7 linked regions of the Macaca fascicularis genome follow. The protein of the gene in region 7 binds, or shares a complex with, the protein of the main gene of each other region. Links are inferred from orthologs where the notes say so. Each region holds a gene or a part of one and is shown on either strand. Other genes may lie near its edges. The genes, in order: LSM6, SNRNP200, LSM3, SNRPD3, LSM5, SNRPF and PRPF3.

Evidence for each region.
Region 1: PRPF3 (region 7) and LSM6 share a complex: the UniProt entries of both Homo sapiens proteins name them as parts of the precatalytic spliceosome. The link is inferred for Macaca fascicularis from reciprocal best matches to the Homo sapiens genes PRPF3 and LSM6.
Region 2: PRPF3 (region 7) and SNRNP200 share a complex: the UniProt entries of both Homo sapiens proteins name them as parts of the U4/U6-U5 tri-snRNP complex. The link is inferred for Macaca fascicularis from reciprocal best matches to the Homo sapiens genes PRPF3 and SNRNP200.
Region 3: PRPF3 (region 7) and LSM3 share a complex: the UniProt entries of both Homo sapiens proteins name them as parts of the precatalytic spliceosome. The link is inferred for Macaca fascicularis from reciprocal best matches to the Homo sapiens genes PRPF3 and LSM3.
Region 4: PRPF3 (region 7) and SNRPD3 share a complex: the UniProt entries of both Homo sapiens proteins name them as parts of the U4/U6-U5 tri-snRNP complex. The link is inferred for Macaca fascicularis from reciprocal best matches to the Homo sapiens genes PRPF3 and SNRPD3.
Region 5: PRPF3 (region 7) and LSM5 share a complex: the UniProt entries of both Homo sapiens proteins name them as parts of the precatalytic spliceosome. The link is inferred for Macaca fascicularis from reciprocal best matches to the Homo sapiens genes PRPF3 and LSM5.
Region 6: PRPF3 (region 7) and SNRPF share a complex: the UniProt entries of both Homo sapiens proteins name them as parts of the U4/U6-U5 tri-snRNP complex. The link is inferred for Macaca fascicularis from reciprocal best matches to the Homo sapiens genes PRPF3 and SNRPF.

What each region holds. Positions count from the first base shown.
Region 1 is NC_088379.1:151,030,003-151,034,505, reverse strand, and holds the start of LSM6 (U6 snRNA-associated Sm-like protein LSm6), read right to left. Parts: upstream 2,999-4,503; 5' UTR 2,923-2,998; intron 1,599-2,922; 5' UTR 1,495-1,598; intron 1-1,494. UniProt on the Homo sapiens protein: Plays a role in pre-mRNA splicing as component of the U4/U6-U5 tri-snRNP complex that is involved in spliceosome assembly, and as component of the precatalytic spliceosome (spliceosome B complex).
Region 2 is NC_088387.1:1,383,391-1,387,240, reverse strand, and holds part of SNRNP200 (U5 small nuclear ribonucleoprotein 200 kDa helicase), read left to right. Parts: intron 1-1,652; coding exon 1,653-1,845; intron 1,846-2,317; coding exon 2,318-2,373; intron 2,374-3,648; coding exon 3,649-3,747; intron 3,748-3,850. UniProt on the Homo sapiens protein: Catalyzes the ATP-dependent unwinding of U4/U6 RNA duplices, an essential step in the assembly of a catalytically active spliceosome. Plays a role in pre-mRNA splicing as a core component of precatalytic, catalytic and postcatalytic spliceosomal complexes.
Region 3 is NC_088376.1:152,443,046-152,447,411, reverse strand, and holds the start of LSM3 (U6 snRNA-associated Sm-like protein LSm3), read right to left. Parts: upstream 3,117-4,366; 5' UTR 3,076-3,116; coding exon 3,055-3,075; intron 489-3,054; coding exon 378-488; intron 1-377. Other genes in the region: XPC (DNA repair protein complementing XP-C cells), read left to right, coding at 3,365-3,464. UniProt on the Homo sapiens protein: Plays a role in pre-mRNA splicing as component of the U4/U6-U5 tri-snRNP complex that is involved in spliceosome assembly, and as component of the precatalytic spliceosome (spliceosome B complex).
Region 4 is NC_088384.1:28,879,677-28,883,956, forward strand, and holds the start of SNRPD3 (small nuclear ribonucleoprotein Sm D3), read right to left. Parts: upstream 2,853-4,280; 5' UTR 2,764-2,852; intron 1,172-2,763; 5' UTR 1,154-1,171; coding exon 1,028-1,153; intron 1-1,027. Other genes in the region: protein GUCD1, read left to right, coding at 3,848-3,890. UniProt on the Homo sapiens protein: Plays a role in pre-mRNA splicing as a core component of the spliceosomal U1, U2, U4 and U5 small nuclear ribonucleoproteins (snRNPs), the building blocks of the spliceosome.
Region 5 is NC_088377.1:97,820,036-97,823,885, forward strand, and holds the end of LSM5 (U6 snRNA-associated Sm-like protein LSm5), read left to right. Parts: exon of another isoform or gene 1-136; intron 137-556; exon of another isoform or gene 557-733; coding exon of another isoform or gene 734-812; coding exon 813-908; intron 909-1,501; coding exon 1,502-1,529; intron 1,530-2,389; coding exon 2,390-2,462; intron 2,463-2,853; coding exon 2,854-2,886; 3' UTR 2,887-3,342; downstream 3,343-3,850. UniProt on the Homo sapiens protein: Plays a role in pre-mRNA splicing as component of the U4/U6-U5 tri-snRNP complex that is involved in spliceosome assembly, and as component of the precatalytic spliceosome (spliceosome B complex).
Region 6 is NC_088385.1:102,898,446-102,901,127, reverse strand, and holds the end of SNRPF (small nuclear ribonucleoprotein F), read right to left. Parts: intron 1,534-2,682; coding exon 1,469-1,533; coding exon of another isoform or gene 1,465-1,468; exon of another isoform or gene 1,433-1,464; intron 862-1,432; coding exon 795-861; 3' UTR 723-794; downstream 1-722. UniProt on the Homo sapiens protein: Plays a role in pre-mRNA splicing as a core component of the spliceosomal U1, U2, U4 and U5 small nuclear ribonucleoproteins (snRNPs), the building blocks of the spliceosome.
Region 7 is NC_088375.1:110,918,340-110,922,189, reverse strand, and holds part of PRPF3 (U4/U6 small nuclear ribonucleoprotein Prp3), read left to right. Parts: intron 1-2,451; coding exon 2,452-2,595; intron 2,596-3,243; coding exon 3,244-3,343; intron 3,344-3,457; exon of another isoform or gene 3,458-3,515; coding exon 3,516-3,629; intron 3,630-3,850. UniProt on the Homo sapiens protein: Plays a role in pre-mRNA splicing as component of the U4/U6-U5 tri-snRNP complex that is involved in spliceosome assembly, and as component of the precatalytic spliceosome (spliceosome B complex).

The sequences.
Region 1 (4,503 bases), on a different chromosome or scaffold from region 7:
ACAAAGTGCTGTAAATTAGCCTCAAAGAAATACAACGGACAAACGCAAAGAAAACTATCTCATGTGATTTGGGTTATGCCACTGGGCAGAAGACATGAAAATCCTTATTACTTGGCAATGTTTACCTGTAAGTTTTTACCTACTCCTAGCATATTTACAGTTTAGGGTGAAAAAAATTTGAAAAGCAAAAACTTGCAAGGAAACATTACAATCCAAGTAACTGCAGCACTAGACTAACAGATCAGTGTCTGAGGAGGCGATCAGACACGGAGAAGAACAGCTCTCCAAGTCCTCCCTTCTGACACAGTGGAGTGCCTCGCTGTCTTGTGAAGGCTTCATACCAATCCCTCCTTCCTGAGCAGCAGGCGCTACTTCTCTCCCTCTCTCCCAAAGGCGAAGTGAGTCCACTCAGCACCTCTTTCAACTCTCGGTCATGGTCCTTATCAGGCTGCTTTGTAATTTTTCCATTTGCTGACAGGTCTCCCATGGTGAGTTTTAAGCTCCTTGGGGACAGGGGAAATATCCTACTCACTTGGTATCCCTGGTACCTAAGCACACTGCCCAAGTCTGTGGAAGAGACATTCAAGGCCAGTGCCAAGCAAAATCCCTGTCCAGCCCCCACCAACCCAAACTATGGATACAGTGACTAGTAGGATCATGCACGTACTTCAACAAATACTAACCAAGTAATCTCTATTAGGACCACCAAAGACGGAGAAAACAACCCTTTCTGTCATTCAAGAACCAGCTGTTTCCAAATCTAGAGATGCTTGTTAAAATGCAGATTCCTGAAGTCTACTCAGGTAAAAGCACTGTATTTTACATTTTATGAAGTTCTCCAGATAATTTATTTAAGCAAATGGTTCTCAACTAGGGGCAGTTTCCCCAACCCCACCCCACCCTGCTCAGGGACATTTGGAAGTATCTGGGGACACTGAACTGTCAAGACTGAGGAAGGTGGTGCTACTGCTATACTAGTGGGTAGAGACCAGGGATGTTGCTAAACATTTTACAACAGGACCGCCCTCCACAACAAAGGACTGTCCAGCCCAAAATGTCAATGGAAGCTGAGAATCTCCGCTATAAGCCCTAAAAAAAAAAACCACCAACAACGTTGTTCTTTGGTTTTAAAGTGAGGAGTTTTAAAGAAATCTCCAAAGTACAGCAAATGATAACCAAAAGCTACATTCTAACCAAATGATGGAGTGTAGATTATAATTAATCAGGGATGTTTTATTCTAACATAAAGGGAACCTGAAAACAACTGTCAAAATCTTGAAGGGGTTGCCATTCTAAATAATGGATTTCTAGTCTTGGCCATGAAAATAATCACTTTCCAATTTCTCAGTGTTACAGGTCCCTCCGATCATTAATCTGTTAGTACACTTTTAAAAGGAGAGAATAATCCAGGTGATGTAAACAAATTTTTAAATTCTAATATCTACTATGCCAGAGTTCAGTGAGAGACTGCCTGATGCAGCACAGGGTACTCACTTGGGAGGCAGGAAACCTGAGTTCTAATCCCAGCTCTGCTACTTAATTAGCTGTGTGACTTGGATAACTCATCATTTCACTTCTCATGGCCCCAGGTTCCTCATCTGCAAAATAAGGGAGTTATGCCAGATGACCACTTAAGTCTCTTCCTGCCCTAACATTCAGGTAGTAACGCATTAACTCCAGTGACACACACACACACACACACACACACCCACAAACATAAGCCTCTCAAGATTTCTGTACAATATTCAAGCAAGTAAAATTGCCAAACACCTGAAAAACTTTTTTGGAAAACACTGCAGCAATGTGTACGAAGGCCTAAAAAAGGCCTTACAGATGAAAGCATCTAATCTGATAATTTCACTTCTGAGAATCTAGTCCAAGGAAATAATCTAAAAAATAGGGGGGAAAAGGTTTATCAAAGTATTATCTGGGGTGCTAAGAGATTCAAAAATTCAAAAACAATCTATAATATCCCACAATCGGGAAATGACTGAATAATTTATGGGACCTACATTGCGATCCACAATGAGGGACAGTCAATCAAAAGAAGATACAAAACTAGAATAATATTTAGGAAGAGTTTTTAAATGGAAGTGGTAAACTATACTGTTAAGTGATTAAACATGTACACTCTTAGCTCAAGTAGAAGCTAGCATACACAGGAGAAAAAGATTGTAGGTGAAAGGGTTGTGAATACTATTTCTTCACTAAAGTCTTCCATGTTTGCAATTTTCTACAATAGTCACATATTACTAAGAGCAGTGGGGTAGGGTAATCCGCTTCATCCTAATGCTACACATCTTAAAAACGCCTGCTATGCACGCGCGCGGACACGCGAACGCACAGAAAACCTCGGGCGATAGGACTTAAGACCATACAATTGGGTTCCTAGGCCTGACAACTCAGTAAGACAGGCGAGTCGAGTCCTTAATTCCTGTGGTCAGGCGCAGCCACCCCGATGTAGGGAAGGGTTCGCAATTCCCTGAAGCCCTGGAAGACTGGCGAAGCCTAGGCCTGGGTTCGGGATCCGCTTTCCCGCCGAATCCTGGGATTAGCCTCGGGGCTCCCTGGGGAACTTCAACAACCTGAACTGGTCTCGGACGCCAACTCGGTGGGAGCCGGGACGGTGCCGCTACTCTCTGCGCAGTCTAAGCACCTCGCTGAGGGCGGTCCCGGCGCCCACCATCAGACCTCTCCGGCCATTCCGTGCGCGGAGAGCTTGGACGCGGCATTTCGCGGGAAGCTGCCACTCAGCGGTCCCTTCCCGGAGCCCCAGCCCGTTCCCCTCAGGCCCTTTCCGGGGCTGCCTCGCCCGGCCTAGGGCAGCTGCAGCCGCCGCTCCACAGCGCGACTGAACACTGGGGCGTCGAACCCGGGGCTACGCCCGGCCCCGTCATCGGCCCGCGCAGCCGTGCGGCTCACCTCGCGGGCGGGATCCAGAACCCTCACTCCAGGCGCCCCACGAGTCCGGCCTCCGCGGATGATCGCAGCCAAAAGCGAAACCGCCGAGGCAGCGGCACTTTTCTGCCTCGGCCAATCACTGCTCTTCTCTGCTACGGCAGCCCGCTGGGGCCGAAAAGCCTGTCAGCGCCGAAGCGCGCAAATCCGAGAATCCTGTTTTGTCTAGTAGCAAAATTGGTGCACTGGAGTTCCTCTGACAGAAATCTGAATACAAAACAAATATAATATAAAACAAAAACAAAAATCCAGGAAACTAGAAGTGATCTTTTGTCCAGGATTTATTTGCAGAAGTGTAAAAAATAACTTGAAGTCATAGGAAACTGGAATTTACTGTTTAAGTAACGGCACTGTGTACCCAGAAACGTCCTTGAATAGTTTAAAGCAAATAAATAAATAAAACACCTCAAGTCTTTAAATCTACCTCTGGATATTGATTAAATGTGTGAAGACTTAAGCCATTTTAGCAAGAGACTGTTTCCATGGCAATGTTGATTAAAAAATAATTAAAATCACTCAAGTAACTCCGAATTATAATGACATTAATTGTGTTACATTAAAAACTTGTTCCAATTGGAAATGGTGTGCAGACATTATTTAAGTGCTACTATGGGAACTTGGTTTGGAATTTTGCATGAATTCTCAACACTTTCTATTAATGGGATTGGAAGGGGAAAAAAAGAGAACTGTTACCCCAAGACTTGATTCCTTTACTCTCATCAGCTGAAAACTTACTTTAATTTTATTTATGGTTTGTAACGCTATACACAAAGCAATAAGATCTTCCAACACAGATCCTTAACCCCATTAGGTGTTATAAAATCTAAGATGCAGAATTTTTTTCTGAGATAAAGAATTCCTCCCTTGTAACCTTCTTTTGGCTAAAGGCAGAAGAAATGAACTTTTGATTGATATCAGGGACAGAAAACAAGTGGATGTGATTTGGTAAAGAATAGAGACTTCCTTATATCCTTCTATAAAAGCTCAGTTTGGGTAAAGACCAAACAGTTACTGATTTATTGAGAGGACTGTATTTGAAGTTCTTGCAATATAAAATATAATATAAATAAAAATTTTAAGAAAAGGACTGTTTAAATCAAATAATTACTTGCAAAGTACAAACATAACAGGATAAAAAGGCCTGTTCCTAAAAACTTTCTTTGCAAGACATCAAATTGCACATTCCTTACTGGTTGTTTAAATTATTAAAAAAAATAAAATAAAATTTTGATTAAAACTTCTTTCCCTTTCCTACAGAGCCCTAATTGAGCTGTTAACACTAGCGTGGTGGGTAGGGAGCCATGAGGAGTTTTAAGGGCCTAGTTCATCTGCAGAGCAGCTGCAGCCTTCTCCAAGGGCAGTAGCTGGGTAAGGGCCCAGTTTGACACACGGGGTGGGCATCCTGAATTATTTCATGAGCTAACAAGTTTATAAAAAGTGTAGCTGTTCCCAAAAGCCCCTCAGCAGCTTATAAATGACTTTTACTAACTCAGGCAATTTTCCATATTTCCCAGGGTTTTGCTTTCAGCATCTTTTATGATGCAA
Region 2 (3,850 bases), on a different chromosome or scaffold from region 7:
ACCTAGATAGCTTCAGAATGGAGGCTGGTCATTTAATCAATCTGCCTATGTAATGAAGCCCCCATAAAAACCCCAAAAGGACTAGGTTTAGAGAGTTTGCGGATAGCTGCACACATGGAGGTTTCCGGAGGGTGGTGCGCCTGAGAGGGCCTGGCAGCGCCATACCCTTTCCCACATGATACCCTTTGCCACATGCCTGCCCTGTGCACCTCTTCCGTCTGTTGTCTGTTGGTAGGCATCTTTTGTAATATGCCTTACAGTAAAAGTAAGTGTGTCCCGATCTGTTCTAGCACAGTAGTTGAATCCCAAAAGGGGATTGTGGAAAGCTCGATTTGTAGCTGTACAGTGAGAAGCACAGGTCACACAACCTGTGCTTGTGATTGGCATCATGGAGTGGAAGGCAGGCTTGTGGGACTGAGTCCTCAGCCTGTGGGATCTGACTCTTATCTCCAGGTAGTTAGTGTTGGAACGGAATTGAATTTGAGGACACCAGCTTGTGTCCACTGCACAATTTTTGGATTGGTTGCTGGTGGGGAGGAATTGTCACAGAAGCCTTCTGTGTTAATTGTTGTAAAAGTATAGAAAAAACAAATTTGCTTTATTTCTTTTTTTTTTTTTGAGTTGGAGTCTCGCTCTGCTGCCCAGGCTGGAGTGCAGTGGCGCGATCTCGGCTCACTGCAGGCTCTGCCTCCCAGGTTCGTGCCATTCTCCTGCCTCAGCCTCCCGAGTAGCTGGGACTACAGGCGCCTGCCACCACATCCGGCTAATTTTTTGTATTTTTGGTAGAGATGGGGTTTCACCGTGTTAGCCAGGATGGTCTCGATCTCCTGACCTCGTGATCCACCCGCCTCGGCCTCCCAAAGTGCCGGGGTTACAGTTGCAAGCCACCACAGCCGGCCAAGTTTGCTTTATTTCTATATTCTCAGAGCGAGGCGGCCAGAGGATGAGACCGTGTGTCAGAAAAGGAGAGGGTCACAACTGGGAGGCTCCAGATGAACCTTGCCTCTGGATCCCCTTGTGGGATGTACTGGTCTGCAGAAGGGGCTTGTATTTACTGAGCACTCGATTTGTGTGGAACAGCACGTGTCTTTCTCTCACCCCCTCATGTAACTCCGTGAATAGGTGCTGTTAATACTCATTTTCCATTTTATAGAAGAGAGATGTGAGGCAAGAATAATTAAGTAATTTTCCCAAGTCACAGAAGTAGTATTTGGCAGAGCCAAGATACGATCCAGATAGTTTATATCTAGAATCTGTGTTCCTAACCGTTACACATGTGTGATTAGATTGGGGACCATTATGAGTCTGAGGAGCTCTGTTGATGTGGGTGCTAGAGGAAGTGAGGACAAAGAATTACAAAAGTGTGGCAGGCTAGAGGAGATCTGCCAAGTGACTGCCACCTGGAGATGTGGCAAGCTGTTGTGGAAGCTGTGTCCTGCTGCTTGAGGCCACCTAGCTAATCTTTTTAAAAACAGATGAGTCTTCCTTTAGTTGTGGCATTTTAAATCAGCATTAATGAGAAAGATCAGAGCCTAGTATGCAACAGGTTTTGAGAAAGTGTGGCTGTTTGCATCCTGCCGCCACATAAACCTGGTTGGTGATGTTCTGTCTGTCATCATTCTCAATATTGATTGGTTGTTTCTTGCTACCAGCCACGTGATATCCTTTGTGGGGCAGCTGATGAGGTTCTAGCTGTTCTAAAGAATGAAAAGCTGCGGGACAAGGAAAGGCGAAAGGAGATTGACCTGCTGCTGGGTCAAACAGATGATACCAGATACCACGTGCTAGTGAACTTGGGAAAAAAGATCACCGACTATGGTGGAGACAAGGAAATCCAAAATATGGGTAAGTGAGCTCTTTATGTCCTGATCATGTTAACTGGTTGTTGTTGACCCCTAAGTATGCATCTTCTAGCATCATTCATTTAAAAACCTTAGTGTCAGTGAGTTCCCATAATTTGTTGTGTGTTTTTTGAAGAGTTATAATTGATAGACACCAGAATCCCTAGATTTCAGCAGCTGTTCCTTACTCTGAGACCCTTTTGTTGTGTAGAATATGGGAGAAAATGTGGGCAGAGCCTTGGGGGCTCAAGTGGTTGAGCAAGCAGAGCTGGGCTGACTCCAGGGCTGGCAGGTGGAGAAGGTCTTGGCAGTGGCAGCATAGGTGGCTCTCTCGTGTTGATCATCTAAGTGCCTGTGTGTGTCCTTAGCACTTAGATCTTTCCTGAGGAGAGGTAGTTGGGGAGGACATTGGCTCCAGAGTGGCTTGTTTTACTAGCCATTCACTGCCCTCTTTTTCTAATCCTTCGTCGTTTCAGATGACAACATTGATGAGACATATGGTGTGAATGTGCAGTTTGAGTCTGATGAGGAGGTGAGTGATAAACAGGCCCAGTCCATTCTTGTTTTTGAAGTTGATGAAGGTAAAGGGACCCCTTGTAGTGTAAAGAAGCTCCCTAGTTTAAACCAGATACATTTTATGGTGGTGTGTGGGTTTCAGACTTAGGCATTATATGTTCTTTTGCTTAAAAAAAATGCAGTTATCTTTTAACTTTTCTACAGCAAATTTAAACTAACAAATGTAAAGCAACGTAATTATTTAAAATATACCAAGTGGATCAGCAAAAAGAAAGACAAAAGATAAAGTACAGTGAATACTTTGAGAATGTATCTGCTATGTTTTACTGCATTTTAAACGTATTACAATATTTTCCCTTTTTTCATTACTGTGTCCCCACTGCCTGTTTCAAAAGATTGCACATTTGCCTTAGAGCATGGCTGTAGTTCGTACATGGTTAAGTCACTGGAGTTAATGTTTACCGTCTAATAGAATTCCTTGAATATAAATAGGAATAAGTGGGGTACTTTGAAAAAATTACAGAGTGCCTTAGAGTTCTCAGTGAGTAGATTTGGCTCCTGAAAGGGAAAATGGATCCCTGGTATATATACCAGGGCTGGAAGAAGGGGTTGCATGGGGAGAGTTAGAGGACTAGGAGCCAAGACTTCTGAATTTGAGTCCTGTATCTTGGCAGGTCATTTTGCCTCAGTTTCTCTTTCTATAAAATGAGGCGATTTCAATAGGTGTTTGCTAAGCCACTTCCTACAGTATAGTTAATAGGATTTGATGATTTTAAGTAGCAACAAACTGCTTTGCTTGTAGCAGTTCATTCATTTAGCAGTGCTCGTTACTGAAGCACCTGCTTTGACTATGACACTGTGCCAAGTATGCCTAATGTGCAGTGTATGAGTAAATGGAGTGGTGAGCAAGCTTAGTGTGATCTCTTCATTCCCGAGTCACCATCTGCTTTCCCAGACGTGCCTCTGCATAGCTCTTCTCTTCTGTTAGCTGATCACTGTTTTTGAGTGTTGATTGTTTGTGTATTAGAAAAAGGCTATGGTCCAGTTGATTGCCATTGTGGCAGCCTAAGGTAAGAAACAGAAAGTAGGTGCATCTAATAAGTCTGTGCCAAGCAGTCTTTCTATTACATGTCCACTGGAATAAGGCTGACCTTGGTTCCAGTAGGCTCTCGGTTTCACCCCAAAGCCATTTCTCTAACCATTGAGCTAATTTAGGGTGACTTGAGGGAGAGGTTCTGTGGTGATGCAGGATCAGCTCCAGATAATGGTTGAGTTGGGGCCATTTCCACAGGAAGGTGATGAAGATGTGTACGGGGAGGTTCGAGAAGAGGCATCTGATGATGACATGGAAGGGGATGAGGCTGTTGTGCGCTGCACCCTCTCGGCTAATGTAAGTTCAGTTTGCTTTTTCTCATTGCTGCAAGGTTACTTCTGGGTGTTAGTGCTTCTTCCCCATGCCTAGGTCCTGTTACATTTATTGAGCCGCCTTTTGC
Region 3 (4,366 bases), on a different chromosome or scaffold from region 7:
TACCAGTAGAGGAAATGGGATTTCACTTTTTACTCTATATATTTTTGTGCTGTTTAACTTTTCATAATAAAACACATATTTGTGTTTTAAGTTTAAAAAACATTTAAGAATGGAGGACAAATAAATGTTATTTACAAATAAACAGAAGGGAAAAATGAAGGGAATAAAAATGTTCTATAATAAACATACTTCTATTAAAAGAAAAAATATTAAAAATGTGAATACATGCAGCTTCATCTGGCTTATGGAAACATGGGTGATTTTCCACTACCCTCTCTTCCTTCAAAATACCTTTTCACTCTGGACAGGTTTTACATTTCAAGGGAGTGGGGGTGGGAAGGAATCTGATTTCAAGGTAACTTGATAAATTTACTCACATGTAATCTGCCTCGAAGCTCTCGGTCATTTCTCATCTTCACATAAATTCGCTCATCTAGGCTGAGCCTGATAAGATCCAGGGGCTCCTCTACAGTGTTGGTAGTTTGTTGCTGATAACAGAAACAGGTTTAGTAATATAGTACTAGAGATAAAGTAGTGCTTAAATCACTGCTATGCTGTATGACCATGTGCAAGTTATTTAACCTTTTTCTGCCTCAGTCTCCTAATCTGTAAAATGGAGATAATAGTGTCTACCTAATACTGTTTTTATGAGGCTTAAGTGACATATATGAAGGCTTAGAACAGAACTTTTCACATAGTATGTGCTATATAAATGTAGATTAAAACACGCATACATAAGAAGGAGTTACACAGCAAAATAATCATGACTATACTTTGTTCCCTCAAAATCCAAACTGCCTGACCCGATTTCAGGGTATAGGGTCTTAGGAACTTTAGCTTTATCTCAAATATTATGTAATCATAGGAAAAACACTCACTTAATGCCTACCATATACTAGTCAGAATGCCAAGTAGAGGTGTAGGTTTATGGGAAGATTATGAATTCAGCACAGGTTGAGGTTAGGCTGCCAACTGGCCAGTAAGATGAATATTTAGTAGCCAGAATAGAACACTGGTTCAAAGCACTGGCTTAGCCGGGCATGGTGGCATGCGCCTGTAGTCCCAGCTACTCCGAGGCTGAGGTGGGAGGATTGCCTGAGCCTGGGAGGTGGAGGTTGCAGTGAGCCAAGATGGTGCCAACAAGCAAGCAAGCACTGACTTTGGAGTCAGGCAGTCTGGGTTCAACTCCTGGCTGTGACCTGACACTTATGAACTGAGATTAAAAATCATGCCATCTGTAATTCTCAGATTCTTCATTTGTAATTGAGAAAGCCACAACCTTCCTTCTGGATTCTTATGAGGATGAAACTAGTTAATGCATTTAAAACAGTGCCAGGAAAGCAGAAAATATTAATACTTAGAAACGGTTCCTTTTGGCTGGGCGTGGTGGCTCAGGCCTGAATTCCAGCACTTTGGGAGGCTGAGAAAGGCAGATCACCTGAGGTTAGGAGTTTGAGACCAGCCTGGCCAACATGGTGAACCCCGTCTCTACTAAAAATACAAAAATTAGCCAGGCGTGCTGGCACGTGCCTGTAGTCCCAGCTACTTGGGAGGCTGAGACAGGAGAATCGCTTGAACCAGGAGGCAGAGGTTGCAGTGAACTGAGATCACGCCACTGCACTCCAGCCTGGGCGATAGAGTGAGACTCCATCCAAAAAAAAAAAAGAAAAGAAAAGATTCCTACTAATATTATATTATTAAAGAACTGCTGGAAACACTGGTTTTAGAGGTCAGGGCTAGGATGACTTGGGGTCACCCACATGGAAGGGAGGGTTGCAGCCATTAAAGAGTTAGATGATTCAAGGAGAGCTTCTTTAGTAAGCACACAAGGCCAGTGGAGGAAGGTAACTGAATTCGTAACAGGCGCTAAAGATTCAAAAGGCCCGATGAGAGAAAAAAAAATAACCTAACTCAACTGGTCCCTATGTCCCTCAGTTCAACAGGTGTTTGTTAAAGGATCTGATAACCAACTGTTAGATTACAATGATACAGAAGTCACAATCTCCACCCTCAAGGAGCTCATTCTAATGTGGATAGGCATATGAATAATTATAATACTGTAAGAATATGCACATGACAGAGCTCTACTGCTACCTAAGCCTCTGTCTGGGATGCCCACTTTCTGTTCTTTTTCATCCTGTAGCTTTATACATTGGCTTTTAAAAGAGGCCTCCTCTGATCATCTAACTCATTCACTCAAATATTTGTTGAGTATTTCCAGCACTGTTCTAAACCCCAAGGACAAAAGAATGAACAAAACAAAATGCCTACTGTTATGGCACTTACATTCTAGTCAGGAGAGATACACATTAAACAAAGATGCATACATTTAATATGAAAAAATAACGTTCTATGAAGAAAAATGAGGCAGGGTAAGCAGAGTAGGGGGAGTGCTATTTGGGCAGAAGTCCTCTCTGAGGAGGTGAGATTTCAGTAGAAAGTTTAAGTTGTAGCATGATCTCCAAAGATATTTGAGGAAGAAAAAGACCAGGTGAAAAAGCTTCTAGGACCATCTGTTATTCTGCATACCAGTTCCTTGTTTCCTTCATAGCACATCACAGTTCCTATAAATCTTACATATTTATATTTATCTGTTCTCCTCGCGAATATAAGCTCCAAGTCATGGCAAGGATCACTTATATATCGATGTCAGTGTCCCTGGCTCTTAGAACAGTGTCTAACCATACAAAGCTGATGTTCACTCTCTCTGCTGAATGAGTAAATAATTGTTGTGCTCAGTAATAACAACTCCTAACTTTATTATCTGGCTTTCTATTGGAATCCTGACAGCTCCGTGAGGTAGGCACGCATAATAATTTACAGATTTAAAAAAACAAAGCGAAGAGTGTGATGAATAGTCATCAGGTGGCCTTCTAACGGAAAAGACCTCAGGGCCTGCAGCAAAATTCGGACAGGGGTGTTTACGGAAAGGATGGGGCGGATTAGGCCGTGTGACTTGGAAAGAAGAGGCGCGACTGGCCATTTTTCCTGCGTTTGGAAAAAGCAGTTTAGTACAAGAAGCGGCGCCGAGCCACCGCCTTAAAATTCACTCACCTGGTCTACGTCGTCCGCCATGTTTCAAACCCTGCGCCCTTTCCCGCCTCTCGCGAGAACACAAGAGCAACGCCGAGCTCCGGAAACGTGATGCTACAATACACCGGAAATAGAAACCTGCTGTGCTCTTGCCTGCTTCCCGCGGTTTTTTAGTGGCCACGGGTATGGGGCGGAGCTTCCTTTGGGGGCGTGACTAGGCCTCCAACGAAGGGGCGCGGCCAGACGCGCCCGCCTCGGGGCGGGGCCTGCGTTCTAACGCATCGCGGCCTGGTGCGTCACTCGCGAAGTGGATTTTTCCCCGACAAGCAATATGGCTCGGAAGCGCGCGGCCGGCGGGGAGCCGCGGGGACGCGAAACGCGCAGCCAGAAGTCCAAGGCCAAGAGCAAGACCCGGCGTGAGGAGGAGGAGGGTGAGAGCGTGGCCCAGCGGGCTTCGCGGGAGACTCTGCCGGTGGGCGGAGGAGGCCCAGAGGCAGGGGCGGCGGGAGTCCAGACGCGGAGGCCGGGTGGAGGTTGCTGCGCGCGTTCCGCGCAGTGGGGGCAGCACGGCAGGCCGCGGCCGGCCCTCCCCGCTGTCCCTGCGCCTTTGTCCTCTGCACCCAGAGCGGCTTCCCGTGAGCCTCGCCCGACCCAAGCTCCTGCGTAGCTTCTTTCCCGCTCCCCGTTGTCCAGAGGATACAGCGCAGATGTTCAGGGTTGAACGCGGAGAAGGCAGTTATTTGTGTCCCAGGAAAACGGACGGACGGACCAGGACGTAGAGTGATGCAGTGTGCTGACTCCCGAATGATAACTTCAGCTGAGTCTCGCCCAGAGTTCCACAGTGGGATCCCACCTGACTTCCCCTCGTGGATATTGGATAGGCTTCTTACATTTGTCGTGGACAGTGCAGAGCTCATGGTCTTCCCCTTCAAATCTATGGTTTCCTCCGTTTTTCCAGTCCCAATACTTGTTATAAAACAAAGTCCACCTTTTTCTTATGTGCACACATCCAGTCCCGTCAGCAAGTCCAGTCAGTTCAGCCTCAGACTGTATTTCAAATTTGTCCACTTCTCTTCATTTCCATGGCCACAACCCCTGTCCAAGTCACCATCACCTTTCAGTTGAGTGACTGCAGTTTCCTCTTGACTGGCCTCCCAGCTCTGCATCCAGCAACGCAAATAATCTTTAAAAAAAAAAAAAAAATCATGCCATGCTCCTGCTTTAAACTCTCCTTGGTTTTCCATTGCTCTTAGTTTAAAACCCAGTTGTCTTATCCTGGCCTGCAAGATGCTACGTGTTTTGGCTCTTGCTACCTCTCCTGTTTCTCCTACCA
Region 4 (4,280 bases), on a different chromosome or scaffold from region 7:
ACACCAGGGGTGCCAGTCTGCCCATTTCTGCCCCATGTTAGACTCTTCTAATGAGCAATCACTGCCTTGCTGAGACTTCCTCAAAACTACACTGTAGTCTAAGGTTCTTCCTGCTCAATCCTCCTTCTTTCCCCTCTCGTTTCACCAGTCAGACCAGCATCACGGACTGAAAATTTCCCTGCCTACTACTGTTTCCTTGTTCCTTTATCCTTTATTGTCATTTCCCCCAATAAATACCTTGCATAATTCTGTCTTGGCATCTACATCAAAGAACCCAAAATAATAACACTCCCGTTTTACAGATGAGAAAACTGAGTGATTAATACATCTAAGGTCATATAATTAGGAATCAAACCCACATCTCTCTCTGACTCCCAAGTCCAAGTTCTTAACCAATGGTTTAAAGAACAAAGAAAGTGTGAAGATACAACTGAAAAACAATGCTATAAAAATTCAGATGACTATGCAAAAGGCAAAGCTGCGCCATGAGAAGGACACCGTATCAAGAAACTACTCCATTATTTACTATCAGAGTGATGAGTCCTTTAATCTCATTCTCCCTATTTTATGGATGACAAGACTACCACCAAACCTGCTTACCTCACAAGGTAGTTGCAATAATCAAATGAGACTCCTCCTCCAAGAGAAAAGGGAAACAAACACAGTATGTGAGAAGATTCTCCTAACTGCAAAGCAAGTGGAGGCAAATGGATAATGGCTCTGAACCTGAAGGATTCTACTGAAGGAACTTCTCCCAAACAGGTCCCCAAATTTGGGGATGGAAAAAACAAAAAAGGCGAAGTAAAATATTCCAAATCTCCAAATGGCTTTTCTGCCTCAAGACTATGTGTTTTGTTCATGCCCACATCCCCAGAGCCTATAACAGCACCTGACTGGTATGTGTTAGGCACTCAGGAAATCATTGCTGAATGAGAACAATTTACAGAAGACCCCCAACCCACACCTTTCTGTCCTTCAAGACACAGGGCCATTCCTCCCACACAGCCTCACATGCAAAGCAGAATACCTGGCAGTTCATGTTGTCCTCTGCTTCAATGAGCTTCCCCCGATATACCTCACCGGTGTTCGTCTCACATGTCACAATGTGGCCCTCGGCCTCGTGCAGCACTTTAATTGGCACACCAATAGACATCTTGGCAGGAAGAGAGCTCTACAGTGAAAGAGACAACAGTCAGTTCATCTTTCAGAGTCTGAGAAGGCATGCGGCACACGTCATGCCTCCTTCAAGGCCTGGCACTCCATAAAACTTAGCAAAAACGCCAAAGCTGCATTTTCTATCAAAGAAAAAGAAAAAAGAAAGCTCAGCTCCTGGCTTGGAGGAAACTATCTGGCAAATATGTGCAAGATGTCGGGTGAGGAGGAATGGTGGGGTGGACAGAAGTAAAAATAGGAATGAAAAGAGAGCATCTCCCATCGACCATGTGTCCCTGCTACCCTATGTCCCTTAATCTTCAGCTAAAGGACCATTAGCGAATACTGTGTGTGTAGGGGAGGGGGATTGGAATGTTAATCTGTTGCACTGTTATTTGTCAACCCTTAATTGTAGATTATTATATTTTGAGAATCATAACACAGGCCTGAGCTGTCCAATACAGTAGCTCATGTCCACATGTAGCTATTTAAATTAAACTTAACTAAAACACAATAGAATTAAAATAAAAAACCCAGTCCCTCAATCCCAGTGGCCATATTCCAAGTGCTCAACAGCTACATGTAGCTGGTGGCTACCCTACGGAAGGAGCAGATACAGACCTAAGGACCATGCATATCTAGGAGAGGAGACTGTACTTTTAATGCAGCTCTTTAACCCTTCCCTTACTTTACCATCAAGGATATTGAGAAAATATCGAAGTGACAACGTGCTATATGCAGGAAATGCCCGTCATGGAGGAAAATAAGGGAAAGCACCTGACTTGACCTAATTAAAAGCATCAAGTAGTGAACTTTTTATTGACATGAGCGACGACTCAAAGTTGGAACCTAAGTGCACCTAAGACAGGAGAACATGAGGTTGAAAAGACAGGCTCCTTTGGTGAGGATCCCTGGCTTTCAGCCTTAGGAGCCTAGATTTTATGCTGAAGATAGTGGGGAACCACTGCAAAATTATAGGTAAAGAATGACACAATGAAAAGGTAGCAGCATTTATTTACAAAATGGATCTAACGTAAGGTTTAGAAGCAGAGAAACTTGTTAAAATTTCTGCAACAGTTAAAACTGCTGCAACAGTGTGGAAAGCATGACGGGACCACTGCCTGAAAGGGAGCTGGGGGCAGACATGCAAAGAACTTTTTAAAAAATGACCGGCTGGGCGCGATGGCTCACGCCCGTAGTCCCAACACTTTTGAAGGACGAAGCCGGTGGATCCCTTGAGCCCAGGAGTTCGAGACCAGCCAGGGTAACATGGTGAAACCGTCTCTACTTTAAAAAAAAAAAAAAAAAAAACCCTCATAGGATTTGACTTCAAGATTCAAAAAACTCATAGGAAATAACTTCAAGATTACTGCCTGGAAACTTTGAAAAACACTCACCTGGAGAGATACAGAATGTAAGAAGCATGCACATTGAGGGAGCAGCTAATGAACTTACTTCCAGGCGCTAGTGAGGCGACGCTGATGTTTGGGTGGTCCAAACTTCCCGCTTTCTTCCCTCCCCGAATCCCGCAGAGTTCATGCATTGAGTCTTTCTCCAGCCCCCGGCCCCTCACAGGCACCTCGACCTCCCCTCGCCCGTCCCCAGCCTCACCGGTTCTGGCCTACTTTTCCTTCTCTTCGGTGCACGGCGAAAGCCGCTACGGCGAAGGCGTGAATCAAGAGAATGGCGGGCCCAGCTCCCAGAATTCCACTCGTTCCCAAAATGCTGCGCGCAGGGCCCGCCTCCTTCCTTTCCCCAGTGGTGAGAGCGGTGTCGCCTCCGCTTCCTCCTCACCCCGCGTGCCGGCTGGGAAACTAAGGCACCAGTACGATAGTTCCGGCACCGGAAAAGAGGGCCGAAGACTGGGCCCGGGGACCGCCGCAAACAACGACCCTTGGGGCCGGCAAAGAGCCAGAGAGGGTGCTTGCACTTCCAAGCGCCCCACACCAAGGACAGGCTGGACGGCAAGGCGGAGACTCGGGGCCTGGGCCCTCAGACCGGGGGCAGCAGGAGGTTGGGCCAAGGGCCAGGACTTCCCCTCACAATTTAATTTTTTGATCCCAGCACCGCCAGGTAAGGGGCGCCCTGAGTGAGGCTACGTATCTCGTACGGATAAAGTTAGGTATAGAGTAGAGAGGAGGCCGGCTCAGGGTCATCCCTAAAGGCAGTTTAAGGAGAGTTGTTTGGAGCCTCCGGAATACACTGGGCCGGACCAGGGTTTACAGCTAAGACTGGCAAAGGAGCGGGCCCCGGCAGAGGCGGGGCTTGCTGAAGGGAGGAGCCTCTGTTCACGAAATGCACGGGCTTTGGGGCGGGGCTCAAGGAAAGGGGCGGAGCTTCCGGGTCCGCGTCTTGTTGGGCTTCGCGGCTGCGCGAGGATTGGACGAGAGGGCTGGGTCACTCGACGCTGAGGCGGTGAATGGCCGGGGCAGATTTAAATCGGGAGGCTGGGGGCCTCTAGGATCAAAGTTTGGGGCGGGGCTTAGAGAAAGGGCGGGGCCTCCAGATTCGAGACCTGGAAGGGCTGGGGCGGGGCTTGGGGCGGCCCAGCCACCGCCTCCGGTTCTCCCCTCCGCAGCGGCGGCGGTGGCGGAGAAGGAACTCGACACGCACCGACCGCCCTACCGCCCCAGCCGAAGCGGAAGCTGTAGCCCGCTCTGGGCCGGGGCCATGGGCGCCCCGCGCCGCCCGGGTCATGAGGACGGAGGCGGAGGCAGCGGGGCCGCCGCTCGAGCCCGGTCAGTGCCTCTCTGTGGGCCCAGTCTTCACCCTAGGAACGAAGGGGACCCCGCCCTAGCGCGGGGCAGGGTCCAGCCGCGCGACCTTGGGCCGACTCCCGCCTCACCCCCACACCCGCCTCGCTCCAGTCAGTGGGGGTTTCCTGACACTGGCAGGATTGCGACCCTTGTCCGCATGGTGGGAGGGTCCGGGTAGAAGGGGCGCCACCTTCCCCAGAAGCGAAAAGTCCTACTGGAGCCGCCTTGGGAGCTCTCGTGCCTTGGGGAACCGTGGAGGACTGAGGCTGGGAAGGGCAGGAAACTGGCCGAGAGCACCGAGTAATGAAAGGGCCGGTGCTCTGGCCTCCCAGAGTCGGCGTTTTGTCTTGCTCCTGTTCTTCCCCCTCTGGT
Region 5 (3,850 bases), on a different chromosome or scaffold from region 7:
TGCTCTTTAACGTGGTCGGGCTCCTCCGGGCAAGGATTTCTGACTCCTCAAAGCAGACTGTCACTGGAGAAGGTCCACATTTAGTGAACGTGTTGTCGGCCTCCTTTGTTGTGAGCCCGCCTCTGCAGTGTGATAGGTAGTAGGCCAACTTCTCAACCTGGCTTTTAAGATCCCCAGATTAGATAGACCATGTTATGTATATGGTTGACACTAACACCCTGGTCCGGAATGAGCCTTAAATGAGGAATCTGGAAACTAGCTCTGTTTGTTATTTATTCATTCAATAAGTAGTAACTGAGTATCTATACACGAGATACCGTGCCTGGGCATTTTTCAACGATAAACTTAAACCATAGCCATTGCCTTCAAATAGCACACAAGCCAGTGGAGGAGAGAATACTGGACAAGTAGACATCCTGCTACATAATGCTAGGCTGGCAAAAGAGATGTTCAAGCTGCCGTCAGAGCACAGAGGATAGACAGAGTTGGGGGAGGGAAGCAGTGACAGAGTTTCCGGTGAATATAATTATACCTATCTCCTCTTATGTTTTTGTAGCTGGTGAAGAGTGATTGAACTAGTGGTCGTGGCCGTGATTGAAAAGTTTTCATTCCTTCATGCCACAGACTCTTTTGGAATCCTCATTACGCGCCAGATGCTGTGCTTAAACTGAGATTTGTATTATAAGACCTAAAGTTATTGAATGAATGTTTTTCCTGGTTTTTCTTTCACTATATGCAAGTAAGAGTGCCAGTAGGCACTCAAATATTTGTTGAAATAATGAATGGTAAAATAATATTTTTTCCCTCCTCAGAACTTGTGGACAAATGTATAGGATCAAGAATTCACATTGTGATGAAGAGTGATAAGGAAATTGTTGGTACTCTTCTAGGATTTGATGACTTTGTCAGTATCCTTTTAAAAGGTGGTGGTGGTGGTATAGGTTTTTCTTAAGTATTTAATAACGTAAGAACTATAGACAATCAGTATATTTGTGATTATTATAATAAAATCAGTTCATTTTCAGGGAACTTATGATAATGTTTTAAGAGGTATGTATTGAAAGACGGTAAAGTTCCTATCAACAACAAACATTTTGAATTTGAGCCGTTGTGTTAAACATTATAATTAAAACTGAACAAGCGAGCCCAGTGGCTTACACCTGTAATCCCAGCGCTTTGGGAGGGCAAGGTGGGTGGATCGCTTGAGCCCAGGAGTTTGAGACCAGCCTGGGCAACATGATGAAACCCTGTCTCCACAAACATTACAAAAATTAGCTGGGCATGGTGACGTACACCTGTGGGCCCAGCTAATCTCTGGGACCGAGGCAGGAGGATCCTTTAAGCCCAAAAGGTGGAGGCTGCAGTGAGGTGTGAGTGTACCACTGCACTTAAGCTGGGATAACACAGCGAGACTTTGTCTCAAAAGAAAAGAAAAGAAAAGCTGAACAAAGGCAGAAGCTGGAGTAAATTCTCTATTTGTTTTCTTAACACCAAATTTCAGATATGGTACTGGAAGATGTCACTGAGTTGTGAGTAGTGTTAAAGAATTGGGGGGGAATCTCTTCTTAATTAAAGACAGTTTTACTACTTTTGAGTAAAATTATTTATGAGAAAACATTACCTGTTGGTAGAATAACCTTAAAGATAGAAGTTTTATCTGTTTGCTTGTAAAATTGGATCAGTGTTATTACCTTAATTTAATTATTAGTAAACTCCTAGACAATTAGTGGAGACAGTTTTAAGGTAGAAGATAAAAGAGCTAGGAATTTTAGGGTTCAGGTCAAATCAAGGAACTGATAGTAAGAGCATTTAGACTGGACATGGTGGCTCACCCCTGTAATCCCAGCATTTTGGAAGGCCTAATGAGGAGGATAGAGCCTGGGAGTTTGAGACCAGCCTGGCCAACAAAGGGAGACCCCTGTCTCTATAAAAAATTTAAAAATTAGCTGGGTATGGTGGGGGGCAGCTGTGGTCCTAGCTGCTCTGGAGGGTGAGGATCCCGTGAACCAGGAGTTCTAGGCTGCAGTGAGCTATGATTGTACCACTGTACTCAGCCTGGGCAATAGAGCAAGACCCTGTCTCTTAAAAAAAAAACAAAACCCAAAAAACATTTCATTTCATATTTGATTTCTTGGGCAAGCTTTGGCTTCTTTTTATGAAGCTCTGTCTGACAGATGTGGATCTTAGGTCAGTGAGTTCATTCTGTTGCTTTTAATGAAGGTTACATTACCTAGTGGATAACCTTTGTAACTGAAAATTGTCGATATAATTGCCCAACCTCAGAGTAATTTGTATACAAGGATCACCTTTTTAGGGAGGGAAAGTATTTCCAAAATGTTGGCTTTGATTTTCACTGTTTATCCTGACTGTATTTTATCTATTCATTTAGTGAAATCACACCAGAAGGAAGAAGGATTACTAAATTAGATCAGATTTTGCTAAATGGAAATAATATAACAATGGTAAGACACATTGAAACTGTTTTGTTTAGATGGGAGCCCATTTTTCTGGGGCAGTGATTATAGAACTAACCTTAATGTTGCTTGCTTAACTAAATGATCATGGCCCAGTGGTGCGTAAGATGGGAAGGGTGTTCTCTGTGGTCAGGGCCCTAAAGCTCAGCTATTGAAGAGGCATTGGGTCTAAAGGTTAGTTTGCTTCGAATTTTTAATCGCTGTTGAGATAGTAAGTATTAATTGATGATGTTGGAAATTGTGAATAGATATTGACAATCTGGAGAAAATGGGAATGTGGAGCGCAGAGGACAGGCAAAGGTGGCTTAAGGAAGAGCAAGGGATTTTTAGATGACATGGTTGTTGTGTTACTAATAAACTCTTTTTCCTCTTTATGCAGCTGGTTCCTGGAGGAGAAGGACCTGAAGTGTGAATGAGTTTTCTTGACTTAGCTAGATTCTGTTTTGTCTTTTAATGACAAGAAAATGGAATTTTTTTCCCCCACCTTCTAATGTTTAAATCCCGTAAAGCTAAGTTTCCCGTTAAAGGGAAGTGCTTTGAAGATGTGTACCCATTTTTGTAAGTTAATCATGATTATCCTGGAAAAAGAAGAAAAGAGCTTCTTCTTTGAAGACGAAAATAAAGGTGTTTTTGGTTAATTGTCATTTTATTTATTGTACTGCAGTAGCCAGTGGAACAAAGATTGTGGTTATTTTGCCACTTACTTTTCTGTCATTATATGCTTATTTGCTTTCTCATTTACATGACCATTTGATTCTCAAACAAAAGTCGTTCCAGACAAAATGATGAACTTTGATTTGAACAGGTGCATTTAAACAACTGGAAATGATCACTTAGAAAATTAAATTAAAATGCTGTTGTTTTGTAATGAGGATTTTTCTACTGATTTCAAATTCCATGAACAACTATTGAAAACAAACAATATACAGGTAATATATGCACATTGTAGAAATGCGGGAATTATCTATTGGAATTTCCCTAAAGATACAAATTTTATCTATTTGTTTATAAAATTGGTTCAGAGGGTTATTACCTTAATGTAATTATTACTGAATTGCCAGGAAATTAGTGGAGACAGAGCTTTAAGGTAAAGGATACTAAAAACAGCTAAGAACTCTGGGACTCAGGTAAAATCAAGGAACTGATAATAAGATCATAGAACTGTATAAATTAAGTCAAAGAACTATTAAAAACAAACAGGTAATATACACACATCGTAGGATTATAAGTAAGCAAAAAGGAGAAGGTTGATCATGCTTTGCTGTATGTCTTCATAGACTTTCTCAGTCCACTCTCAGTACACATTTTATTTTACTTGTTCATCCTGATTTTTTATTCTCCACTTAAGCCATTTTTTGAATTTAAATGGTGAATAT
Region 6 (2,682 bases), on a different chromosome or scaffold from region 7:
ACAACATGAGAATGTAAATGATATATTTTCTCAACCCATCTGTAGGGAAGTTCATAGCATGCTGTTATTACTATGGAATATACATTTTAACAATGTATAACTCTAAAATATCTGAAGGGTTTTGAAAGGCTTAAAACTTAACCTCGAAGTTATGGTCTCAGAACATAACTGTGAGACCGGTTTTTATTCCACATTACGTTTTGTTCAAAGAACTTTTTTCTCCTTAGTAAACAAATCATATGCCCTTAGCCTGAATGTCAGTTCCCAATTTCTGTTGTGCCCTGTCTGTACAATCATTTTAATTTTTAGAGGATGTTTCAGTTTTAGCTACAATATGTGCATTTAGCTTATACTGACACCGAATTAACATGTAATTTATTGACTAAGTAAAATAAGACAGAATATTATTAATGCCAAGAAAATGTTTAATTTTATACATGTTAAAAGTGGCTCAAAAATAACTTGAAAACGTTGCATTTAAAAGGTCGCAGCTAATAGATAATTTTACAAGAAAAGGTCTGAAATTCACCTTCATAAAAATATCTAAAGCATATAATTATCCTTTATGGGGGAAAAAAAAAAAGAGTATTGAGCTTACAAAAGAAAAGCAACTTAAATGAAATTCGGTGGCTTTTAAAGCATTAGTTCTGTGAGTAATCTTTCCCAACTGGTTCAACATTTGAGCTTTGCTTGTAAATATCTGAATACAAATAGTTCGCAAGTCAAGTTGAAAAACAAACAAATCTTTATTGTCTAGAAATATATATATAAAAAAAAATCCCCAACAAAAGATGCTATTCTCTCATTTCCCCATCTTCTTCCTCTTCTTCCACACCTCTGATATAAAGGACATTATTACACCTGTAAATAGAAAAAGTCCATTTTGTTGTTCCAACCAGAATGATCTGAATTACTGTATTTTTATTATGAAAATACTGAATGCTATATTTACAATATTCTTGTCTTAAAAAATTTTTTAATATATTTGTTTTTAAAAAGAGTTTTACATAGACTTGTTGAAAAGCACATTGCACTTATTTTCCACCATATGGTTGTTAAAATGACACCTTTATGATTTTCCAAAGGAAACAATTACCAGAATTTGAAGCTTTGAAGCTAGTACAGAGAATCAATATAACAAAAATCCTTACAAACAGCCAGACCCAACTAAAATTCAAAACTAAGTTCTTGCAATGAAGGCCACTGCAAAAGGTTGCCACTGTAAAAGGTTATAGCTAAGAGCCAGAAAATTTAACACTAGAAAAATCTTTTGGCCAGTTCTAAAACATTTGAAAACTTACCTTTGACAAGTTTAACAATTTCAAAGACTTTTGAAGTCTAATTGTAAAGTATTATAATAGTAATTTTTTTTTTAAAGTACTTCCAAAATTGAGGCACTAATATATTTAGAACAGGTATTCCTAATGCTCACCAGTAACTCCTTACATATACCACTGCTGTTCGTTACCTTATTAAAACTTCACCCAGATGTCCAGACAAAGCTCCATCTATGTATTCTTCTGTATTTGCAAGCTTTCAATAAAAAGAAATAAATTAGTATAATCACACAGGAGGAAAATATTACAATACAGCTAATACTGGTGAGAGAACTTACTATGACCTTCCTATACCAACAACTCAAATTTATCTATAATTAATAAACAGAGGATGAGCTTTCTATTACTACTGTAGTACTTTTGGTTTCATATAAACCTTCAATAAAATTAATATTCATGGATATAGAACAAATATATAATAAAGTTTGTCTCAACATAAGCCTCTGAATCTCCCAGGTTATGTAATATTTCTTTCCATTAGATATCAAAACAGTGTGTGGAAGAAGGCAGTCTCTATGAATAAATTGTGATTAAAAAGTTTTCTGAAAATTCATTCTAAAGAACCAGACGTTAAGTTTTCTCAGAGTAAAACATAAATCATATTGAGGTGTCCAAATGGGTATACAAAAGCTATGGCCAGCATGCCAAATACTTTTATATTAGTCAGCAACCAAAGCAGATAACTGAGTTAGAATTTTCTTCTTTTCCTGTCTTTTAAGAAACAGGGTCTCCCTCTGTTGCCCAGGCTGGAATGCAGTGGCACAATCATAGCTGAGCAAAACCTTCAACTCCTGGGCTCCTCCTGCCTCAACCTCCTGAGTAGCTAGGCCTAAAAGCATGTGCCACAAAGTCTGGCTACTTCAAAACAATTTTTTTTTTTTGTAGAGATGAGATCTTGCTATACTGCCCAAGCTGGTCTTGAATTTCTGCCTTCAAGTGATCCTCCTGCCTTGGCCTCCCAAGGTGCTGGGATTACAGGCATGAGCTACCACATCTGGGCCTGAATAAGAAAATTTTTTAAAATTATGTACCAATAAACAGGGAAAAACAAGTTCTTAAGTGAAAGTTAAATAGTTAACAGTGACTTTTACAGTTATTTTGTTGAACCCTATTATTTCTAATTTTATATCAAAATGTTTAGCTTTCCTTCTACATATAGGTAACAATCTTTACTTGTAATTAAAAGAAAAATCACAATCAATGCCACCTGGGACTCAGCGACGACACTAACAGGAGTGAAGGGAGAGAGGGAGGTTTCCTTCACAACTAGGCATGTGGAAAAGGAAAAGAAAAACACGGCTTAACAATAAGGATCAAAATAGGATGTGACATAAGGCATGAAAAA
Region 7 (3,850 bases):
GGCTGGAGTGCAATAGCGCGATCTTCATTCACTCATTCACTACAACTTTCACTCCCCGGCCAGGTTTAAGCGATTCTCCTGCCTCAGCCTCCCAAGTAGCTGGGATTATAGGTCCCCACCACCACACCTGGCTAGTTTTTGTACTTTTAGTAGAGACAGGGTTTTGTCATGTTGATCATGCTGGTCTTGAACTCCTGACCTCAAGTGATCCTCCTACCTCAGCCTCCTAAAGTGCTGGGTTTACAGGTGTGAGCCACCGCACCTGGCCCTAATTTTGTTTTCTGCATTTGCCAGGGATCATTGAATGAGGGAGTTTAACAGCTTAAAGGAAAACAACTAAGAACACTACTTAAGAAAGAGGCTGGGTGCAGTGGCTCACGCCTGTAATCCCAGCACTTTGGGAGGCTGAGGCAGGTGGATTATGAGGTCAGGAGTTCGAGACCAGCCTGGCCAATATGGTGAAACCCTGTCTCTACTAAAAATATAAAAATTATTGGGGAGGGGGTGGTGCGTGCCTGAAGTCTCAGCTGCTCGGGAGGCTGAGGCAGGAGAATCGCCTGAATCCGGGAGGCAGAGGTTTCAGTGAGCCGAGATCGTGCCACTGCACTCAAGCCTGGGTGACAGAGCGAGAAATGACCGGGCGCGGTGGCTCACGCCTGTAATCCCAGCACTTTGGGAGGCCAAGGCAGGCGGATCATGAGGTCAGGAAATTGAGACCTCTGGCTAACAAGGTGAAACCCGGTCTCTACTAAAAATACAAAAATTAACCAGGCCTGGTGGTGGGTGTCTGTAGTCCCAGCTACTCGGGAGGCTGAGGCAGGAGAATGGTGTGAACCTGGGAGGCAGAGCGTGCAGTGATCCGAGATTGTGCCGCTGTACCCCAGTCTGGGCAACAGAGCGAGACTCCAGGCCGGGCGCGGTGGCTCAAGCCTGTAATCCCAGCACTTTGGGAGGCCGAGACGGGTGGATCACGAGGTCAGGAGATCGAGACCATCCTGGCTAACACGGTGAAACCCCGTCTCTACTAAAAAAATACAAAAAACTAGCCGGGCGAGGTGGCAGGCGCCTGTAGTCCCAGCTACTCAGGAGGCTGAGACAGGAGAATGGCCCGAACCCAGGAGGCGGAGCTTGCAGTGAGCTGAGATCCGGCCACTGCACTCCAGCCTGGGCGACAGAGCGAGACTCTGTCTCAAAGAAAAAAAAAAAAAAAAAAACAGAGCGAGACTCCATCTCAAAAAAAAAAAAAAAAAAAAAAAAGATAAGAATGTTTTTTAAAAATATACTGCTGGGCACCAGGCCTGAACTGATTTTAATCTTACTGATCCCTTAACAAGTTTTTTCCGTTTTCTATTTAAAGTTTATATATATATATACACACACACACAGACACACACACATATTTTTTTTTTTAGATGGAGTCTCACTCTATCGCCAGGCTAGAGTGCAGTGGCACAATCTCAGCTCACTACAACCTCCGCCTCCTGGATTCAAGTGATTCTGCTGCCTCAGCCTCCCGAGTAGCTGGGACTACAGGCGTGTGCCACCATGCCCAGCTAATATTTGTACTTTTAGTGGAGTCGATCTCTTGACCTTGTGATCTGCCTGTCCCTGCCTCCCAAAGTGCTGGTATTACAGGCATGAGCCACTGCACCTGGCCTCAATATATTTTTTACATAAAATGTTTATAATAGAGTTGAGTCTCACTTGGTTGTCCAGGCTGGTCTGGAACTCTTGGGCTCAAGCAATCCTCCCACCTTGGCCTACCAAAGTGCTTTAGGCATAAGCCACTGCGTCCAGCCTAAAGTTTCTTTTAATGATATTGATATTTACCTAGGTCTCTTTAATATTCTTATTGCTGTCCAGGCATGGTGGCTCATGCCTGGCCAACATGGTGAAACCCCGTCTCTACTAAAAATACAAACATTAGCCAGGCATGGTGACATGTGCCTGTAATCCTAGCTACTCGGGAGGCTGAGGCAGGAGAATTACTTGAGGCTGCAGTGAGCTGAGATCGGGCCATTGCACTCCAGCCTGGGTGACAGAGTGGGGGGGAAAATATATATATATATATATATAATTTTCTTATTGCGGCCGGGCGCGGTGGCTCAAGCCTGTAATCCCAGCACTTTGGGAGGCCGAGGTGGGCGGATCACGAGGTCAGGAGATCGAGACCATCCTGGCTAACACGGTGAAACCCCGTCTCTACTAAAAATACAAAAAGAAATTAGCCGGGCGTGGTGGCAGGCGCCTGTAGTCCCAGCTACTCCGGAGGCTGAGGCAGGAGAATGGCGTGAACCCGGGAGGCGGAGCTTGCAGTGAGCCGAGATCACGCCACTGCACTCCAGTCTGGGCGACAGAGCGAGACTCCGTCTCAAAAAAAAAAAAAAAAAAAAAAAAAAAAAAAAAAAAAATTTTCTTATTGCTTTGGTATACTAATCTCTGCCCTGACAGTTGACAATGACACACCAGTTACTCTGGGAGTATATCTTACCAAGAAGGAACAGAAAAAACTTCGGAGACAAACAAGGAGGGAAGCACAGAAGGAACTACAAGAAAAAGTCAGGCTGGGCCTGATGCCTCCTCCAGAACCCAAAGGTACATCTCTTAGTGGCCTCTGCTGTTAAAAAGAGTGGCAAGTTTATGTCTTTAATTCTGGAGGAACTTTAACATCTCTCTATGTCTGAGTGATTTCTGTTTCTAAGAATCATTCTTGGGGTCTTTTTTCTCCAAGTGTTCTACCATCTTTTCATATTAAGATAGGTCAACACATTCATTATAGAGGCCATTTAAGGCTTATTTTTAAGCATACTGATCATACAACACTCTGGTTTTCCTGGAAGAATACAGGTCTTGAAATTCATGGAGATAGTAGTTGCAGTATTTGGGTAGACTTTTTATGTACATAATTCTTAATGTTTTAATTTTTACAATGAAAGTGCAGGATAAAGAAATTGCCCCTGTAGTTACATTCTCGTTCAGCAATATTTTGACTGAGGACTGTTATTTATAAACTCTTTCACTAGATGCTGTGATAAGTACCAATCTTCAACTTAATTGTGTGAACTTCTGCAAATGCTGAAGTGATTGGGTTAGATTTTCAAGGTAGTAGTTATTGGAGAAAGTGAGTTTAGAAGCAGAGATTTGAAATAGGTAAATAATATGAATTGGTGTAGAAGAGATAGCAAGTTACTCCAGCTGGAGAAGTGACTTCAAAGATTGACTGCTGTCCTCTCTTCACTGCAGTGAGAATTTCTAATCTGATGCGAGTATTAGGAACAGAAGCTGTTCAAGACCCCACGAAGGTAGAAGCCCATGTCAGAGCTCAGATGGCAAAAAGACAGAAGTAAGTGCCATGGGATTGGGTGGAAACCCCGGGCAAGGACCCTTCCCAAACTCTTCTGGGGGATCCATATTTGGAGGGAGGGGAGAGTTCTCCGTTGCTCTCTCTTTCCCTCAGCCCTGCCTCTGATCTTCAATGCCTTTCTCACTTGTGGATGTCCTTCCTGTCACGACAGAGCGCATGAAGAGGCCAACGCTGCCCGAAAACTCACAGCAGAACAGAGAAAGGTCAAGAAAATTAAAAAGCTTAAAGAAGACATTTCACAGGGGGTACACATATCTGTATATAGGTAGGTGTCCATACTGGGCCGACCTTCCCCTTAGAATTACTAAAACATTTTCCAAGTGCTTGAGGCAGAATCATTGTGGCCTAAAAGCATACCTGACACCAGTTCCTACTCTCTTTTAATGACCCTAGTGTGGATCAAGAGCTAGTAAATCTTGTAAAATAGCGAGGGTTAATGACTTATGTTTATGGTTATCCAAGTCTTCCCTCTGAAGTCTTCTTTTT